Xenopus tropicalis: one gene and its partner. The main gene of each other region encodes a partner of the protein of the gene in region 2 in a complex. Links are inferred from orthologs where the notes say so. Each region holds a gene or a part of one and is shown on either strand. Other genes may lie near its edges.

What was found.
Region 1: ctnna1 (region 2) and cdh26 share a complex: the UniProt entries of both Homo sapiens proteins name them as parts of the cadherin:catenin adhesion complex. The link is inferred for Xenopus tropicalis from reciprocal best matches to the Homo sapiens genes CTNNA1 and CDH26.

What each region holds. Positions count from the first base shown.
Region 1 is NC_030686.2:3,561,379-3,566,685, reverse strand, and holds part of cdh26 (cadherin-like protein 26), read right to left. Parts: intron 4,250-5,307; coding exon 3,978-4,249; intron 2,702-3,977; coding exon 2,559-2,701; intron 1,664-2,558; coding exon 1,409-1,663; intron 337-1,408; coding exon 115-336; intron 1-114. UniProt on the Homo sapiens protein: Cadherins are calcium-dependent cell adhesion proteins. They preferentially interact with themselves in a homophilic manner in connecting cells; cadherins may thus contribute to the sorting of heterogeneous cell types.
Region 2 is NC_030679.2:20,008,045-20,013,351, forward strand, and holds part of ctnna1 (catenin alpha-1), read left to right. Parts: intron 1-185; coding exon 186-342; intron 343-604; coding exon 605-805; intron 806-1,717; coding exon 1,718-1,869; intron 1,870-2,607; coding exon 2,608-2,718; intron 2,719-4,185; coding exon 4,186-4,367; intron 4,368-4,613; coding exon 4,614-4,719; intron 4,720-5,307. UniProt on the Homo sapiens protein: Associates with the cytoplasmic domain of a variety of cadherins. The association of catenins to cadherins produces a complex which is linked to the actin filament network, and which seems to be of primary importance for cadherins cell-adhesion properties.

The DNA of each region.
Region 1 (5,307 bases), on a different chromosome or scaffold from region 2:
AGCTCTAGAAGCACCCATACACCAGCACCCAGCGTAACCTACATTGATTCTGGAGCTGATCAACTACTAGAAGCACCCATTTGCCATCACCAGTCTAGCCTACATTCTACTTACCCAGGAAGAGCAGCAGAGCCAGAAATATAATGCCAATGGCCCCCGGGCCCAGGAGATACTGTGGCGGCTGCGGCTTCTCGCACGTTTGCCCGTCGGGGCAGGAGCAAATGCGGATATGGAGGGTCTGCGCCTCCAAAGTGCCCTGCCGGTCGTATACATTGAGGGGCACGGAGTAGTTGCCCTTTGGGAGGTTTCTAAGCATTACCAGCTCAACAGAATCATCTGGAAGAGAAGGACAATGATTCCATAGCAACACAAATGTAACATTGCACCAACGCACTCCACTTTTGAATTTCAGCAGCTATCTGGTTGCTAGGGTTTTGTTTACCTTGGCAACCAGGCAGTGGTGTGAAGGAGAGACAGGAATATGAATAGGAGAGGGACCAAATAGGTAAGGAATAAAAAGTAACAATAACAATAATATTTTAGTTGTTTGGCTGCCGGGGTCAGTGACCCCCATTTGAAAGCTGCAGAGAGGCAGAAGAGAAAGGAAAATAATAGTAAAACTATAATAAATAAATAATGAAGACCAATTGCAAAGTTGATAGGAATAGGGCATTCTGTAACCTACTAAAAGTCAAGGGATGTTCATCTTTAAGTTAACTTTTAGTATGTTATAGAATGACCAACTTTTCAATTGGTCTTCTTTATTTATTTGTTATAGTTTTTCAATTATTTTCCTTTTTTCCCTCAGTTTTATTGTTATTGTTACTTTTGTAACTTTATTTTCTATTCAGTCCCCTCTCCTATTCATATACCTGTCTCTCATCAAAACCACCCCCTGGTTACTAAGGTAACTTGGACCCTAGCAACCAAATTTTCAATTGGTCTTCATTATTTATTTATTATAGTTTTTTAATTATTTTCCTTTTTTTCCCTCAGTTTTATTGTTATTGTTACTTTTGTAACTTTATTTTCTATTCAGTCCCCTCTCCTATTCATATACCCGTCTCTCATCAAAACCACCCCCTGGTTACTAAGGTAACTTGGACCCTAGCAACCAAATAACTTCCAGCTGCAGAGCTGCTGGACAAAAAGTGAAATAACTAAAAAAACTACAAGTAATAAAAAATGAAGACCAACTGCAAATTGGCTGAGAATATTGGTGTCTGGGACACTAGCTCTGATACTCAGTGTATATCTCTAATCCCTGCCATAAAGCAAGACCAGACTGCTGAAAAAGTAGCGCTACCCATATCCATAAATATTGGCTTTGAAAGGGTGCAAAGTATTAGTGACCCCCCCCCCACTAAAATAACCCACAGACATTTCCCACAGGATCCATGAGACTCACCCGGATTGGTTCTCCCGATTTTCCAGTTATCCGTTGTATCTGGGGAATTATCCGCCAGTTCAAACTGAAAAGGCCCAGAGTACGGGTCCAAGTCCTTGTCGTGGGCGTGAACAGAGAAGGACCGGGGGCCTGGAGCGGAGGAGGCCTGGAGCTGCTCACATGCTTCCATGTACGGGGAGAGCAGGAACGGGGTGTTGTCATTGACGTCTGCTAATAAGAGCGAGACAGTCGTGCTGCCTGTCTGGGGGGGGTCTCCTGCGGGGAAAATACACTCAGTCTGTATATTTGTATTTATACATATGGGTAGGGGGTGCCATAGTGTTTCCCTTAGACAGTACAGTATGGGGGTACAGCTTATTGTGTGCCCAGAACATTCCTTCTCTGTATATTTGTATTTATACATATGGGTAGGGGGTGCCATAGTGTTTCCCTTAGACAGTACAGTATGGGGGTACAGCTTATTGTGTGCCCAGAACATTCCTTCCCTGTATATTTGTATTTATACATATGGGTAGGAGGTGCCATAGTGTTTCCCTTAGACAGTACAGTATGGGGGTACAGCTTATTGTGTGCCCAGAACATTCCTTCTCTGTATATTTGTATTTATACATATGGGTAGGGGGTGCCATAGTGTTTCCCTTAGACAGTACAGTATGGGGGTACAGCTTATTGTGTGCCCAGAACATTCCTTCTCTGTATATTTGTATTTATACATATGGGTAGGGGGTGCCATAGTGTTTCCCTTAGACAGTACAGTATGGGGGTACAGCTTATTGTGTGCCCAGAACATTCCCTCTCTGTATATTTGTATTTATACATATGGGTAGGGGGTGCCATAGTGTTTCCCTTAGACAGTACAGTATGGGGGTACAGCTTATTGTGTGCCCAGAACATTCCCTCTCTGTATATTTGTATTTATACATATGGGTAGGGGGTGCCATAGTGTTTCCCTTAGACAGTACAGTATGGGGGTACAGCTTATTGTGTGCCCAGAACATTCCTTCTCTGTATATTTGTATTTATACATATGGGTAGGGGGTGCCATAGTGTTTCCCTTAGACAGTACAGTATGGGGGTACAGCTTATTGTGCTGTTCCCTGGCTAGGAGAAGACCTGGGGGACGGGGGGAGGCAGTTCAGCCGGTACTTACCATCATCTACCCCGTGAATCACAAAAGCATACAGGGTTTTATTAACATAAGGGGATTCTCGGTCAAGTTCTTTCTTAGTTGTTATGACTCCAGTTTTTTCATCAACTGTCACCCAACCCGCTGGGTCGTTCGCTACGTAGAACCTGCACATTATACAGACAGGAGTGATCTCTACAAAGAATAAACAATTCTAAGCAACTTTTCAATTGGTCTTCATTATTTATTTCTTATAGTTTTTGAATTATTTGCCTTCTTCTGACTCTTTGCAGCTTTCAAATGGGGGTCACTGACCCCGGCAGCCAAACCCTATTGCTCTGTGAGGCTCCAGTTTTATTGTTATTGGTACTTTTTATACATTTTTCTTCTATTCAGCCCCTCCCCTATTCATATACCTGTCCCTCATCCAAACCACTCCCAGGTTGCTAAGGTAATTTGGACCCTAGCAACTCTTTGCAGCTTTCAAATGGGGGTCACTGACCCTGGCAGCCAAACCCTATTGCTCTGTGAGGCTCCAGTTTCATTGTTATTTTTTTTTTATAACTTTTTTTTCTATTCAGCCCCTCCCCTATTCATATACCGGTCTCTCATTAAAACCACTCCCTGGTTGCTAAGGTAACTTGGACCCTAGCGACCAGATAGGTGCTCTCAGCTCTCCAACTCTCTCCATTGGGAAGTGATGGATTCTGGGACTTTAAGCTTCTCTGCTCTCTAGATAACGCATGCTCCACCCACTACAGAAAGCAGAGAGACTTCAAGTCCCAGAATCAATCACTTCCCAATGGAGAGAGTTGGAGAGCTGAGAGCAGCTCTTCAGTCTGGAGTTATAACAGCTATCTGGTTGCTAGGGTCCAAGTTACCTTAGCAACCAGGGAGTGGTTTTAATGAGAGACTGGTATATGAATAGGGGGAGGGGCTGAATAGAAAAAAAAAGTTGGAAAAAAATAACAATGAAACTGGAGCCTCCCAGAGCAATGGGTTTTTGGTTGCCGGGGTCAGTGACCCCCATTTGAAAGCTGCTCTCTAAGCCTCTCTGCTTTCTAGATAATGTGTGCTCCACCCACTACAGAAAGCAGAGAGACTTCAAGTCCCAGAATCCATTACTTCCCAATGGAGAGGGAGGAGCTTCATTACCCTGTGAGCCTTAGTGGGGTGGGGAAATGGTTCCTATGAGCATCAGGGTTCCTTTCAATCTGTAGACTGGTTTATACATTTATATTCACTTCTGGGCGCCCAGACCGTGTTTATGCACCATAACGACACCCCCCAACTGAATAACCTCATGAGTAGGTTCTGCCTTTAAAGGGAAACTTCACCCAAAATTGCATAGTAAAAGAGTCAACGGCTGTTGATGTTCCCTGCACTGCTGGTTGTGACTCCTGAAACCCTGAAGGCTCCATGATAGAGAATAGCAGAACCTGCCTGATGTTGTTGGGCACCCTGTCCGGGTCGGTGGCATTGAGCTTCAGTAGGACAGTCCCAGGCTTCACCCCTTCCTTCTCCCTAAGGGCCACATTCTGGGGCTTGAAGACGGGGGCGTCGTTGTTGTCCAACACTTGGATGTTGATGGTGACGTTGCCCAACACCGGCGACGAGTTGATCTTCACTTTGGAGTTTTGGCAGGAAAACAGCGGCTCCTCGTTCTCGGCGGTGATCACCACTTTTTTGAACGGGGTCCCCTCGAAATCCAGAGGCTGCAACGGGGGAAGAAAAACGCCAAAAGTCCCTAAAGGTTCTATAACGGCAGACGTGGGGGCTTCAAAGCGGCAACAAAAACGCCCCAAAAAGTCATCACCCCCCGAATGTTATAAAAGGCATCATGTTTGCCAAGTGCAGTGACCCATAGTAACCAATGAGATTTTGCTTTTAAAGAGGAGACAGTAAGTGCTGCCTGACGATTGGTTGGACTTGATCACATTTGTCATTGAACATCGGGCAAAGTTGCCCCCCACAGTGCCACAGGGTGTAACTGCCACTTTCTCTCATTCTTAGGGTCATTTTATAACTCTGGTTGTTCTATGAGTTGGCTGCAGGCTGGCCTTATGGGCCCCAGAGCTGACATGCACCCATTGTAACAGCTGTGTTAACATGCTGCCCGACTGAGCCTCCACCCTGCCCAACTGAGCCACCATCCTGCCCAACTGAGCCACCATCCAGCCCAACTGAGCCACCATCCTGCCCAGCTGAGCCATTATCAAGCCCAACTGAGCCACCATCCTGCCCAACCGAGCCATTATCAAGCCCAACTGAGCCATTATCCAGCCCAACTGAGCCACCATCCTGCCCAACTGAGCCACCATCCAACCCAACCAAGCCACCATCCTGCCCAACTGAGCCACCATACAACCCAACCAAGCTACCATCCTGCCCAACTGAGCCATTATCCAGCCCAACTGAGCCACCATCCAACCCAACCGAGCCACCATCCTGTCCAACTGAGCCACCATCCAACCCAACTGAGCCATTATCCAGCCCAACTGAGCCACCATCCAACCCAACCGAGCCACCATCCTGTCCAACTGAGCCACCATCCAACCCAACTGAGCCACCATCCAACCCAACCGAGCCACCATCCTGCCCAACTGAGCCACCATACAACCCAACTGAGCCGTTATCCAGCCCAACTGAGCCACCATCCAACCCAACCGAGCCACCATCCTGTCCAACTGAGCCACCATCCAACCCAACTGAGCCACCATCCAACCCAACCGAGCCACCATCATGCCCAACTGAGCCACCATACAACCCAACT
Region 2 (5,307 bases):
TATACCACCTAAATAATTGAGCTTGAGTACTATTTAAGGTAGTGGTGCAAAGAATAGAAGTACAGCACTCACACCAGGCCTTTGTAGAAGGCAAAAAAATGCTTTATTGTCCAAACCCTTTGGTATCTACTGTGACTTTTTTGTCACTTTTTTTTCTCACATTTTTTTTTCCTATCTTACAAAAGGTTATAAATGCAGCTCTGGCCTTAGCAGCTAAGCCTCATAGCAAAATGGCACAAGAAACAATGGATCTTTTCAAAGAGCAATGGGAAAGACAAGTTAGAGTCCTTACAGATGCTGTTGATGATATTACATCAATCGATGACTTTTTGGCTGTTTCAGGTAAGTTTTCTTTTACTGAACATTTTTGAGTGAAAAGTATTAAGAAACCAAAGGTTTATCATATGACACAGATTCAGATAGGTGGAAGAGTACTTTAAATGTATTTTAAATGTCTCCCTAAATAGTTTGTTTTTTGATAGTTCAACACTAAGTGCATATAATGTAAAAAAAAAAATATATATATATTTACCCTGTATTTCCCTACTGTAAAACATTAATTTCTTGTGAAAATAGGAAGGTAATGTCTATCTTTTTGTTACAGAAAACCACATTCTGGAGGATGTGAATAAATGTGTCATAGCTCTCCAGGAGAAAGATGTTGATGGCTTGGATCGTACAGCTGGAGCTATTCGTGGCCGGGCAGCAAGAGTCATACATGTGGTCACCTCTGAAATGGATAATTATGAACCTGGTGTCTACACTGAAAAAGTTTTAGAAGCTACCAAGCTGCTGTCCAATACAGGTATAAAAAGAATTGAGATGCTTTGTAATGTGACTTGTTGATGTACTTTTTTTTTTTTTTTTTTTTTAATCCAAATCTGTTTCTTCCTGCATTCTGAATAGAATGTTGCCACTTATGGTCAAAAATAAGATATGCATATTGACTCCCAAAGAGCATAAAACACCCAGCATTCAACTGTATCAAACTTTATTGCAAGCTTTTCTGGGCAGGGAACTCCTATCTGCTGTATACTGAAACTCCTAAGTACTTAGGAAATAGAAATATATGTTTTTCAAACACTGTCATTCACTTCAGGCTCTCAGAATTGGCTTGTAAATACTTAGAAATAATACCGGTACAGTGATTTCCAAAAACATATTCCCACATCCTAAATATGAGAACCACGATTTTTTTTTCAAAATTGACTGTTTTCCCGTGGTCCCCTTCTACTGTACATTATACAGCGAGAGGCAGTGGGTCCTGACAACATCCCTTAAGGCTGGATATAAGAAACTTTCCAATATATGTTCAAAAAGAGTTTTAAAGTTATTTGAAAATGTAATTTACACTTTTGAACTTCTGGCTTTGACTCCTATAGACCTAGCAGAGAACAGACTTCAGTTAACGTTGTCAGCATCAGAAAACAAAAGGAAAAAAAAAAACCAACAATGCTTTTTAGTAGCAATTCTATTTAAGGATCTTTTTTTTTTTTTAATTGATATTAGCTACCATATAGCTACCCTTGCAGCAAAGTTAACTTTTACACACCAGTTCTTTTAAATAGTTATTGTCTGTTTGTTTTTTAATTTACCAAATTTTCATTTCGAAAGTACAAAAGTTTTAGGATTGTTTTATCATTAATATGATTTAAAAGGTGCTAATTTCCTTCTGTTGACTTAAGCTACTTAAGTATATCTGTAACTGTTCTTCTAGTTATGCCACGTTTCACGGAGCAAGTTGAAGCTGCAGTTGAGGCCCTTAGCGGTGACACAAATCAGACCATGGATGAAAATGAATTTATTGATGCTTCTCGACTAGTATATGATGGTATAAGGGACATCCGCAAAGCTGTGCTGATGATCAGAGTATGTAATATTTATTGCATTTAATATTCCTTCATCTAATTTGTAAGCTAATACTTATAGGCCCACTTGGAGGCAGATTTATTAATTTGAGGGTTTTTTTTTTTTTTTTTGGAAAAGGTAATCCTTTTTTTGGGGGGGGTTTACTAAAAAAATCTCAAAACTTATGTTGTGAAAAACCAACTCAAACTTAGTGCCCTTCTTTTTCAATGTCTACCAAGTTGAAAATTGATCTCAGAATTGAAATACAGCCTATTGCCTTCTACATGAGCTTGCCAGCTTTTAGATGCTGAATTTTTTTTTTTTGAGTTTTTGAAACTTTTAGTAACCTTTTGAATTGTCATGCTTAATTTGTTTTACACACAAGGCCATATTCTGTTACTGGTCTATGCTAATACTTTAGTGTCAGCTCCCTGACACCTGCATTGCTAAAAATGCTCCCATGCCCCACCTAGTGGTAGATATGAGAATAGCACTTAATAGTAAAAATCCAAGACCGGCTCAGCCAAATTATGATTCCTTCAGATACGAGGAGTAGGAGAAACAGTAGCTTATTTAGAGCAGTTTTAATGTGTTATTGGTTCAAAAATAAAGTTTAAAATGGTAAACATTTGCTATGTGAACAGAGTAATATAATAAAAAATTATACCATAAAAATCATGACAGAATCTCTAACATGCAAAAAGAGCTGGGATTTTGCAGATTGATTTCTCAAGTGGATTTGTTAACTTTGCTTTACAGACTCCAGAAGAACTTGATGATTCTGATTTTGAAACTGAAGACTTTGATGTGCGAAGCAGAACAAGTGTCCAGACTGAAGATGACCAGCTCATTGCTGGACAGAGTGCAAGAGTAAGTATCCATTCTACAAAACACAAAGTCACAGAAGATAAAGTCCATATGAAGGTGTCTGTGAAATCTTGTGTAACTATATTCTTTTCTGATAGAGTAACATAACATTTTATTTACAGAGCGCTTGACATGTAAAAACTAAGAGAACAGGTTATTCCCCACCAGGACTTAAAATCTAATGCAACTGGGGATGAATTGGGCATGTAGTACAACTTTATAGCAAGTTGTAGGATGTAGAAACAGTGTGAACAGCGTTGTAGTTAAAGCTTAGTTTTTACCTTTCCTTATTCTTTATCTAAAAGGCCTATGTAAATATAGCCATAAACACTTACAGACCTGCTGGTAAGTTTTCAGTGAAAAGTAACCCCACATTTCTTTCCATCTATTCTGTATACATGATCTTCAGTATCAGACTTCCTTTACTTAGAAAAAACCTTCAGGGTACAGCACAAGCCTGCTCATTTTGCCACTATCTCCCCCCTCCCCTCTCTCTATTGAAAGCTGTTCCCTGCCTGCATGCTGCTTGCCTGTAAGTGAAGTCAGACCAAGCTAAAATGGCTGCTGCTATCTTGCCGAATAAATATATCATTCTAGATTGCACTATTGTGACTTCTCTATTGGCAATCAAATGCCTGAGTAGCTTTCCTTCCTCTTTAAGATTAAAACCATTCTACAAAGAGGCCGCATATGACATGAAATTTAGTTTTGCACAGTTTAGTATCAGCAAAAATAGACACTACTTACAGTGCCCAATTCTAGGTTATCAATAAACAAGTTAAAAAGCAAAGGACAAATGACACCCCTGTCCACGAGTAACATTGGTACAATTAAAAGTGATACCATTTACCAACTTTTTTTGGCCAGTTCTCTATCCAAGAACAAATTTGTGATACTGTATCAAATGCTCTCCTCCTCATAAGGCTGGTGGCAGATGGGGAGATTAGTTGCCTGCGATCAATCTTTGATACTGCGGACTACTAATCTCCCCAAAATGCCTGCCCACCAACAAGAATGTGGGAAGGCATTTCAGGGAGATTAGTTGTCAGTGGTAGTAAAGATTTACCAAGGGCAACTAAGTGCCCTGTGTGCCACCAGCTGAAAAGGCAGTTAATAGAATTTCATACCCCTGATGTCAAACTAACAAGCCTATATTTTTAAGGCTGGGAACAGGATCCCTTTTTGAATAGAGATTGGCAAAAGTAAGGAAGAGGTTGGTAATCACAGAGCTAAGCTCTCTTAGTACCCTGAAATGATTACTATCTGGTCTTAGACCTTTATCTTCACATGTTCTAGTATCTCTTGAATTTTCTTCTGAGTCACCCATGCATCGATAGTTATTTATATATTTGAATTGGTTCTTTTTAAAAGAAAGCCCTTCATTAGCCAATGAAAACTGTAGTATTCGGGTATTACTCTTTGTTCTGGCTGTTTTAGAGAAATGTTTCCTTCTTTCACATCTCCTTTTAGGCAATCATGGCTCAGCTCCCTCAGGAACAAAAGGCCAAAATTGCAGAACAAGTGGCTAGCTTCCAGGAGGAAAAGAGTAAATTGGATGCTGAGGTGTCGAAATGGGATGACAATGGAAACGACATCATTGTTTTGGCCAAACAGATGTGCATGATTATGATGGAAATGACTGACTTTACTAGGTGAGTTTTCAAGCTGCAATAAATCCGTATGTTGTACATAATGATGGAATGATAGAATATTTTAATGACATTTTGCCAGTGGATAGCTTTTTTGTTAGGAGTCCCTTCCAGATCTTGCATTATTGAATTTCTGAACCTAACAAGAACTAATTCATCTCGAATAACATTGCCTTTAAGGCAATAAGACACTTGCATAATCTGTGACATAAATTGTATTCAGGCTCTGGCAATATTTTATTTTCACAGAGGGAAGGGGCCACTAAAAAACACTTCAGATGTAATTAGTGCAGCTAAGAAAATTGCAGAAGCGGGATCCCGAATGGATAAATTAGGACGAACTATCGCTGATCACGTAAGTATGGTGCTTGCTACTGAATGGTGTGTATAATGGTGAGCATGTAGATAGTGGCTCACTGATAAGGACTGCTGCCTTATAGAACTGGGGGTCCATAATTTTGTTCTGGCCTGTGCACCCCCTGAAGTATTCCCCTCTAGACTTAGTGCCCCAGGTACACACAACGATAGTGGCACACACAGAGGAGATTTTACGCGTGTGGGAAATTTGAAGTACTGCCACCGACATATCTCCTGAAAATGCCTTTCCGCTTGATATGTAGATTGCCACATGTAACATGAATTATCGCTGAAAAATGCATTTTTGTGTGTTGTAGTCTGTGGCAGCTATTGCAATTTTGATACTTATTACATTGTTTTGTCACATTTTGCCATGTGTCTACTGTGGAGGATTGCTGTGACTTCTAGTACAGCAGGAGCTGGAGAGTCCCAGTAAGGCTGGGAGGTAAATAGCTGCAAAAATTAGAAGGGGTGTATTGATTGCAATTGAGCCGTCAAAACGATTAGAGCATAAATGTAGTTCCAAATTATTTTATAAGGTGGGTTTGCCTCCTACATTTGCTTAAAAGGCAATTAGTAACTTAAA